2 linked regions of the Rattus norvegicus genome follow. The protein of the gene in region 1 purifies or fractionates together with the protein of each later gene. This does not show direct contact. Links are inferred from orthologs where the notes say so. Each region holds a gene or a part of one and is shown in the gene's direction. Other genes may lie near its edges.

Evidence for each region. Proteins that work in one complex are often made in the same cells at the same time.
Region 2: the proteins of Cask (region 1) and Arhgef26 purify together in Homo sapiens (affinity purification with mass spectrometry; 3 studies listed by BioGRID and IntAct, with this or other methods). This does not show direct contact. The link is inferred for Rattus norvegicus from reciprocal best matches to the Homo sapiens genes CASK and ARHGEF26.

What each region holds. Positions count from the first base shown.
Region 1 is NC_086039.1:11,570,911-11,575,128, forward strand, and holds the start of Cask (peripheral plasma membrane protein CASK), read left to right. Parts: upstream 1-1,418; 5' UTR 1,419-2,082; coding exon 2,083-2,141; intron 2,142-4,218. UniProt on the Homo sapiens protein: Multidomain scaffolding Mg(2+)-independent protein kinase that catalyzes the phosphotransfer from ATP to proteins such as NRXN1, and plays a role in synaptic transmembrane protein anchoring and ion channel trafficking.
Region 2 is NC_086020.1:148,888,046-148,892,222, forward strand, and holds the start of Arhgef26 (Rho guanine nucleotide exchange factor 26), read left to right. Parts: upstream 1-1,377; 5' UTR 1,378-1,913; coding exon 1,914-2,990; intron 2,991-3,789; coding exon 3,790-3,829; intron 3,830-4,177. UniProt on the Homo sapiens protein: Activates RhoG GTPase by promoting the exchange of GDP by GTP. Required for the formation of membrane ruffles during macropinocytosis. Required for the formation of cup-like structures during trans-endothelial migration of leukocytes.

The sequences.
Region 1 (4,218 bases):
TTGGACCCCCGAAAGAAGACAAAGTGTTTTGGGCTCTGAAGCCCTTTCTTTAGAGAAAATACAAAATCTTTGGGAAAGGAGGAAAACATATTTATGCAATTATATTTCCTCTGATTTGCAAGAAAGAAAAGGTTAAGCTCCCAAATATTTAACAAGCAAATCACCCAACCTCTCGAGGGACGGACCAAGGGTTTGTGCAGATCGTTTTTGTTTGTTTGTTTGTTTTTTGTTTTTTGTTTTGTATTTGAAAGGGAAATAGGCTGAATCTTCACCCTGCCCCCTGCACTTTGGTAAATACTAGTTTAAAAAATACCGCGCTGAGAATTTTAACAGATGATTTCTGGAGAGCTGACTTATGAACTAATTGGACACTTCTGCTGTGCGGAGGAACAAAGACTTCCTTTTTTATTGGTCTTCAACTGAGGCATATACCTGTCTGGTGGCGTTGGCTCATTCTGCACATGCTCAGTTGAACAGAATCTTCATATTGCATACAACCTAGCACAGCGGCAACACCCACAGCCTTACTCCGCGGCTGACCCTGTGTGTCCCTTTCCTCTAGTTGCATTTTTATGCGAAGAACTCCAACACTTATAGGGAGTAAACAAAGTCGATGCTGGGGCTGGGGAACAATGTTCAATGGATTTAAAGTCGCTTTATGTCACTATTTTTCTGGTCCGTCTCTAGGTTTTGTCTAGCAGCAATAGACACTGCATAGATATTTGGTGAGTTTGGAGCGGGCAGTAGGAGAAGCTGTTTCGCTAGTTTTTGTGGTACACCTTCCTCTGCAGTTTTTGTTCGGTTCTTTCCTTGGACAATTTTCCCCCTCCCCCAGCCCTCATCTTCATTAAGGAATGGCAGGGTGGCACTAAAAGCATCCTCCGCCGCCAAACACGGTCTTGAGTGACAACCTCTCTCCACCTCCTCTCTGGCTTTTCCATTCATTAGAACCCTTTCCCTGAGTTGTTGGGGTTTTTTTTTTTCTCCCCAGCAAAAACCTGGGAACGGCTTCCTGGGGTTACGAAAGAAGAGGGAAAGCTGCCAGAGTGCTGAGCACGCCGTCCAAGAACGTGCACAGTGCTGTGGACCTTTTGTCGCTTCTCCCCTTGGTTGCGGCTTGGGAGTAGGGGCGACGACCTGCACCAGCCCCACCTCAGCAGCTGCAACCCGCAACCCGGGAAGCTCCGCTTGCCGACCCCCAGCGCCCTCTAGATTCCCCGCGCCCGCCGGTTCTCCGTGACGTTGAGGGCGCTGCGCGCAGGCGCCACTGGGAGCGCCTCTTTTTTCCCTCCCTTCCTCCGCCTCCTTCCGCGGTCCCCGCCTCCCAACGGGCTGGAGGGGCGGGGCCTGCAGGTCTCGCTGCCTTGCGGGCCGAAAGGGAGGAGGGTTTGTCCGCGGGAGGCGGGTGTACAGCGCTCAGGAGCCAGGCGGCTGCTGAGGCTGAGGGGAGGAGCTGAAGGCAGCGGTCGCGGCTCCCGCCCGCACTGAACTCTCATCCCGCGAAGCCCCCTCCCACACTCGGGCGGGCGGCGGCGGAGGGAGGAGGAGAGAAGGAGGAGGGAGCGTCTCTGCCGCCGCCTCCTGGTCCCCAGCGCGGATCAGCCGCCACCACCTCCCTTCGCGACGATCCTCCCTCCATGGTGCTGTCGCGGCCCCCCCTGTAGCCCGAGCTGCCCCGCGCCGCGCCGGAGCCGGTTTCGGGCAGAGGGAGCGGTCGCGGCCTCGCGGCCCGCGCGGGCTGACGAGCGGAGAGTGCGGTGCTTCGCGGTCCCCGAGGGTCCGCACGCCCCGGCAGCGCGGCCGCCAGCAACCGCGCGAGGAGCAGCGGGCGGGCGGGCGGCGCCGGGCCCGGGCCGCCCTCGCTCCCACGCCCCGGCCCCGCCGCCCGCGCCGGGGCGGCAGCCGGCAGAGGAAAGGCGCTGCAGTCTCCGGGCCTCGCGGCCCCGGTCGAGCTTCCTCAGCACCGAGGGCTTGCGGGTCCTGAGGGGAGGACACGAGCCCGGAGCCGGGCACTGAGCTCTTGGGCGCCCCCAACCCAGTTTTCAGAACCCTCCACGCTGCGGCCGCTGTCCCCTCCGGACCATGGCCGACGACGACGTGCTGTTCGAGGATGTGTACGAGCTGTGCGAGGTGATCGGCAAGTGAGTCTCCACGCGAGGGAGCGGGAGTGTGGAAAAATGCTTTTCAGCGATGCCCGGGGCCTCCCGCACCCGCTCCGGGCCTGCCCCCTGCCCTCTCTCCCTCCCCTCTGTCTCCCTTGTCCTCTTCACCCTGGAGTATTTATAGACGTGTACCTGGATCTCCTGCCAGGAGGGAGTCTGGGGGCTTCTCAGCGATCCGTGGAGGCCACCGAGTCCCGGTCGGCCACCCCATAAGGCGTGGGGCGGGCTGCCTGCATTTTATCTGACGGTTAGACAGGGACGTGGCAGGACCGATTTTATAGTTGCTTCCTGGGAACAGTTGGGGTTATTGTTACCTTTCCTGTACCATAGACCTTTTCCAAAAAGAGCAGTCTGCATTTCGTGTGCTTGTGTGGAGAGGGCGAGAGAGCGCGTCCGGGGTTTTTAATTGTGGGGTGTGTGTCTATTGTGCCAGGATATTAGACAGATGCCTTTGTGTTCACCCCATGCCCGTATTTAAGAGGGTCATTGAAGACGGATGCGTCCAGTTTCAGCAAATTCTTCATCTGCCATAGACGAACATAGAAAGAGTTAGGGGCACCCAAAATTTTAATGTCTCGTTATGCAATGACTGTACAATCAGTGCTCGAGGCTCCCTTCCACTGTTGTTGGGATGGTGGTTAGCGTGGTACAGCCGTCTGCTTTGAGTCACCGGGCTGGTCTAGAATATAGAACTGACAGTCCAAATGCTCATCCTTTCGTCTGTGTTGTATAATTACTCTAGGGAAAAGCAGGGAATCAGATTAATCACAGTGCTGATTGAGAATTAAATCTGCAGTTCCTCATCTAATTGTCCAGTCCTGAAATCTGTTTTGAATTGTTTCCTTTTCATTCTTGTCAAACAATATTCCAAGTGCACAATCCTGCTAATTTGCTTGTGAGGGAAATGCTGGCAATCTGAAGTTGATTTCCTAGCTCAGCGTGTATTCTCTGGCTTTGGAAGTTGAGATAAGATTTAAGAGCGATTTTTGCTTATTTACTGGGGCTCATTAGATAGCTAGTATTAGAATATTTTACTTCATTTTGGAAGCGGTGCTTTATTGTCTATTTTAAGGTCCACACTTGGGAAATGAAAGCAAGACAGAGCGGTTGCATTTACCTCTTTAAGTTGTCTGCAGTATACTCAGTTTCAATTTTTTGAGTACGGGTAACTCATTTTTTTCCTCCATATTGAGGCATTACACATGGAGAAATTGTGGGTAGAGCTTGCTACACTCTTTTCTTAGACTCAAATGCTCCTTGCCCCATTGTTCAGTGACCAGCCTATCTGTTAGGAGGAGGATGTCCAAATGTGTCTCCTCCAGTCTTTGTGGATGTGCCCAGAGCAGCGCTGTTCAAAGCTATTTAATGAGAGCCACGTGTAATTTATCATTTTCTAGTAGCCACTTTAGAAAGATGTCGAACAAAAAGGTGGAATTTTAGTAAAATATTTATGTGATATATATGCATATATATATATATATATATATATATATATAGTGATCTCAGCTTGAACATTTTTGCCATACTGTACATCTTTTCCTACTAAGCCATTGAAATGCAGTGTGTGTTTTATACTAACCGAACATCTCAATTTTGACGCCAAGCTAAATTTTTACCAGAAGTACTTGATCTGTATTTAGGTCTCATAAAATTTGCATATGCAAAAAAGTAGGTTCACATATTCAAGTTGTTCCAAACATACATAAAAGTTTTCCAGTAACTGAATTTACTATTTCTAAATTTTAATCAATTAAGCAGAATGCAAAATATATTGCCTCAGTTTGATTAGCCACATTTCAAGTGGTTAATAGCCACAGTGGACTGCTACATTTTTGGAGAGAAAATTTTCAAAAATCTCCTTCATTTCTTCATTGTTATGGGGACACAAAGAAGGCAAATTAGATGTTTCTCAAAAACCACCAAAATGACTGTGAGAGTGAGTGATACTTGTTGTATCTTAGTTATAGCTGTTGTGAGCCTGAAGTCAGTCATTGGAAACTGGGATTAAGATGTTTGCATATTAAATTATGGTGATGGAAATAGCAGTCATTGAATC
Region 2 (4,177 bases), on another chromosome or scaffold:
AAATTTTCTTAAAATTTATTTTGATAAACATTTTGATTCCATTTCTTCGAGTTCAAGGACGTTTCTCAGTTCAAAGATCTTTATCGTGCAGCTTTGGTAAGTACACAAAAATATGAAGAAACACGATAAACATCACCCTTCCTTTCACCACCAAAGCAGAAAGAAGCACAGGCTTTAAACAGTGGCTGCTCACGTGAACTTTGAAAGCATGGAGACTGCCATATGTCTTGCTAACAGAACCAATTCTACAGATCTAACCGACTAAAATCATGTCTTCTCAGGTCGCCTCATTATTCTTACATACCTGGAATTTCACTAAGACAGAGCCAACTTGGCAACCAACATCCAAAAGACGAATGATCATTGGCCCAGGTTCGTTTCTCTCATTCATTTTCTCACTCCACAGATATTTATCATCTACTGTGTGCGTGAACTATCAACATGGCCCCTGCCCTCTTCAAAATTACAATGGGAAGGCAGAATAGATTAAGTATTAATACATAAACATATAAGCATACAGGTGTACGGATTTTGAGTAGTGTAGAAAAGAAAGAGATCAGGTGGTTGGGGAAATAAACAGTAGGGAGTATTCCAACTCCCATTCCAATGGAGTAACAAGCCAGAAGGCCAAGAAATAAGTGTGAAGACTCTAAGGCTGTGCACTTGGCTTGGCTAAATAAAGGTAGTGAGAAAAGACTAGGCTGTAGGGGTAGGCCCACCTCTATCCAGACTACTAATCTCGAATAAGGCTTTATTATGTATTCCTTGTAAGGTATTTTATTCTACACACATTTTCAATTTATATTATACACACTAAATAAATATTTTGTATTTTGTTTACTTTTACTGTGTGACTTGCAAACATACAAGGCCCAAAGATTATGAAATGCAGAGTTACGTTTCGCCTGGCCTTTTAGCCAGTTTTCCTCTTGAGTCCACATTGCAAGCACAGGCAGGAATGAGACCCCGAAGTGAGACGCCGGAGTGAGGTGCAGTTTGAAGACCCGCAAGTGGCCCAGTGAAATGGCACAGCAGCACCAGGTTCCGACTTGGTTCACCCTTCCAATCTCCATAGTTCGGGGATCATTAAGAACCCCTTTCCCTGCTCTCAAGATCATTCCCATGCTGTGTTCTGAGCTGCGACCGCGCCCTGTAGCTGGCCCCTAGGGCGGTCGCCCGCGCTCCTACATTCCAGTACTCCGGTCTGGACACCCAGCTCAGGTGTGCGCGTCCAGTTTGCAAACACTTGGAGCGCTCTCAGGGCAGGCGTAGGCGGGAACTGCAGGGCGCCTCAGTGCGAGCTTCCCCGGCGTGCTGAGGCGGGGCCAAGAGGGGCGGGGCGTAGCGCGGGGGCGGGGCTGGCGCCGCGGGCCTCTGCGAAGTTGGGTTGTGCGCTTGCCTCCGAGTTTTGGTGAGGACTCAGGCCACCCACGGGGACTGGGAGCACTCTTTGGTCCGTGCTCTGGACGCCAGGAAGGGTGAGCGCGCTGGAGACCGCGCACCGGGGGCAGGCTGTACTAGCGCGGGGCGGGCGGCTAGATGGAGACGCGGGGGAGTGTCCCGCGGCAAGCTGTCCCAGCCAGCTGAACTCTTTCCAAGTGTCCTGCAGTGGCGGCGAGCTCTCTAGGTGCCAACCGGCTTGGGGCGCGGGAAGGACTCAGAAGAGACCAGATTCATCTAATCGGTTGCGGCTCGGATCTCAATCCTCGGTCGCGCAGCGTGGCGGGAGGCGCTGTGCCCGAGAAAGGGCGGGTAAGTGAGGCGCTGCCGAGTCCGGCGCGACACCCGTGTGACCGCCGGACTGGACCCCGGCTAGGCTCCCAGACAATACTAGTTGTCCGGAGGCAAAGTTCCTTCCTCTTAGACAACCTGAGAAGCTTTCCTCCTCTTGGGGCCGGCCCAAAGGCCCCGCTATGGACGGCGAAAGCGAGGTGGATTTTTCCAGCAACGGCGTCACCCCTTTGTGGCGGAGACGGTCTACCCCTCCGCTCCAGTTGCTCGGCCGGAGCAAGCCGCGGCCACAGTCGTACCAGAGCCCCAGCGGGCTGCTGATCACTGACTTCCCGGTGGAGGAGCTAGCTGCTCTGCCCGCGCCACAGACTCCGGTCCCTGTACCCGCCGGCCCAGAGGGCAGGACAGTGTCCAGGAGCCCCCAGCTTCTGTGCGCACATCGGAGGCCGGTGACCAATGGTCGCACGGTGTCCCCGGACTACAGAGCTGCTTCTCCTCGACTTCGACGACCCAAGTCACCCCTGGTTTCCTACGCGGCGTCTGGAGGCTCCCCGAAGTCCGCTGTTAATGGCACGGTGTCCTCGCCCGCGGCGCTGTTGTCGCGCGCCTCGCGGACTCCGGACATCCCAGCCTCTAGCGCCCCGGGTGAGGACCGCACCAGGGTGACTGCCAGTAAGGTATCTTCACCCACTGCGAATGGCCTTGCCCCGAAAACCGACTCATCTGGCCCAGTATCACAAACTGGTCAGTCTGCTGGGGACTTGGAGCCGTCCCCCTCGAGACTCTCTCCTGCCCCCCAGCACAGGTCTTCAGAACAAAAACTGCCCCTCCAAAGGCTGCCCTCCCAAGGGAATGAGCTACCGAACCCTTCCGTGATTTTGAGTACCAACAGCCCGGCGGCCCTCAAGATGGGAAAGCAGCAGATTATCCCCAAAAGCCTTGCCTCCGAAATTAAACTGAGTAAATCCAACAGTCAGAATGTAGAGCCCCACAGGAGGCTTCTCAAGGTGCGCAGCATGGTGGAGGGACTGGGAGCACCCCTGGGCCCCGAAGGGGAGGAAAGCGAAGCCGACAACGACATAGACAGCCCGGGCTCCCTTCGGCGAGGCTTGCGGTCCACATCTTACCGAAGGGCAGTGGTCAGCGGTTTTGATTTTGACAGTCCCACCAGCTCAAAGAAGAAGAACAGAATGTCCCAGCCTGTCCTGAAGGCGGTAATGGAAGACAAGGAGAAGTTCTCTAGCTTGGGAAGGATAAAGGTAAGACTGGGCTGGCTCACGTGCCATTCATTAAATCCAATGTGAACGTGTTGGGGAAATTTTTTGAATGCCCATAGCACATGAAATCATGGAACAGTGCATTGCCTTGTTTTTTTCAGTAACCATGCCCCATATTTGTGCTTTATTATTAACTATCATTATAATTATCATTATCATTATTATTATTTACAAACTAATAGCTTAGAATCTGTATGAAAGTGAGAGATATTGTAACCTAATATGGGCCTAGCAGTTGGCCTTACTAAATATTTTTTTTACAATGTGACCTAAAGGAAAAGGGCCAGCCAGAGAGGGATGTTTGGAGTATGTGCCACCTTCTTAGAAACACGAGAGATCTAAGCAAGAGGGCAGTCACATTTTTTTTTTTTGATTAATCAGACAACCGGCACCAGTCTATAGAAATGTCACACATGTAATACACAAGCAAGCCTGTTTTAGTTTAGACATACAGTCTTAAAGGGAAGACATTACATAACATTTTATGTGCCCCTCCCCCAGCTGTCAGGGGGAGCAAAGTTCAGTTTAACAGTGAGAGTGAATCACAGAGACGTGAGCAGGACCGCTGGTCGTTCGAGGATTCTTTCTCTAGTTTAACGGGATGTGGGGACGCTCTACACTTTATTTTATTGTTGCGGTTTATTGCCATGGGGATTCTCTGCCATGTGCTTTTGGAAATCTGAAGGAAATAACAAAAAGGAACTTTTAACTTAAAATAGCTGTACTTGGCTTATTCATACACAGTTTGCTTTTCTCTCCTTTTTTTTTTTTTGTCTCTTAGAAAAAAATGCTGAAAGGACAAGGAACATTTGATGGAGAAGGTAAGCATTGAATTTTCCAGACTTTTATTGCAGCTTCAATATGGTACATCAATTAAAATTTGAAACCTGACTGCAGTAACAAAGACACTTGAGATGACAAAAACAAGAATGCCTAACTTAGTCTTGGATTATCCAGTACGAAGCTGTGTTCACCATGCCAACTTTGTTTATCCATGGGGGGGGGGTGTTGTTTATAAGCTGGTAACTTTTTCAGTTGACATCTTGAAAGCTTTCTTTTTTCCTTTTTTTTTTTTTTTTTTTTTTTTTAGCTTGGCTCCATCCCCACCTGCCTCACTACGTGGGGGTGGAGCCCTAGCTCCTCACTCAGGCTCTTTGAGCCTGAAGCTT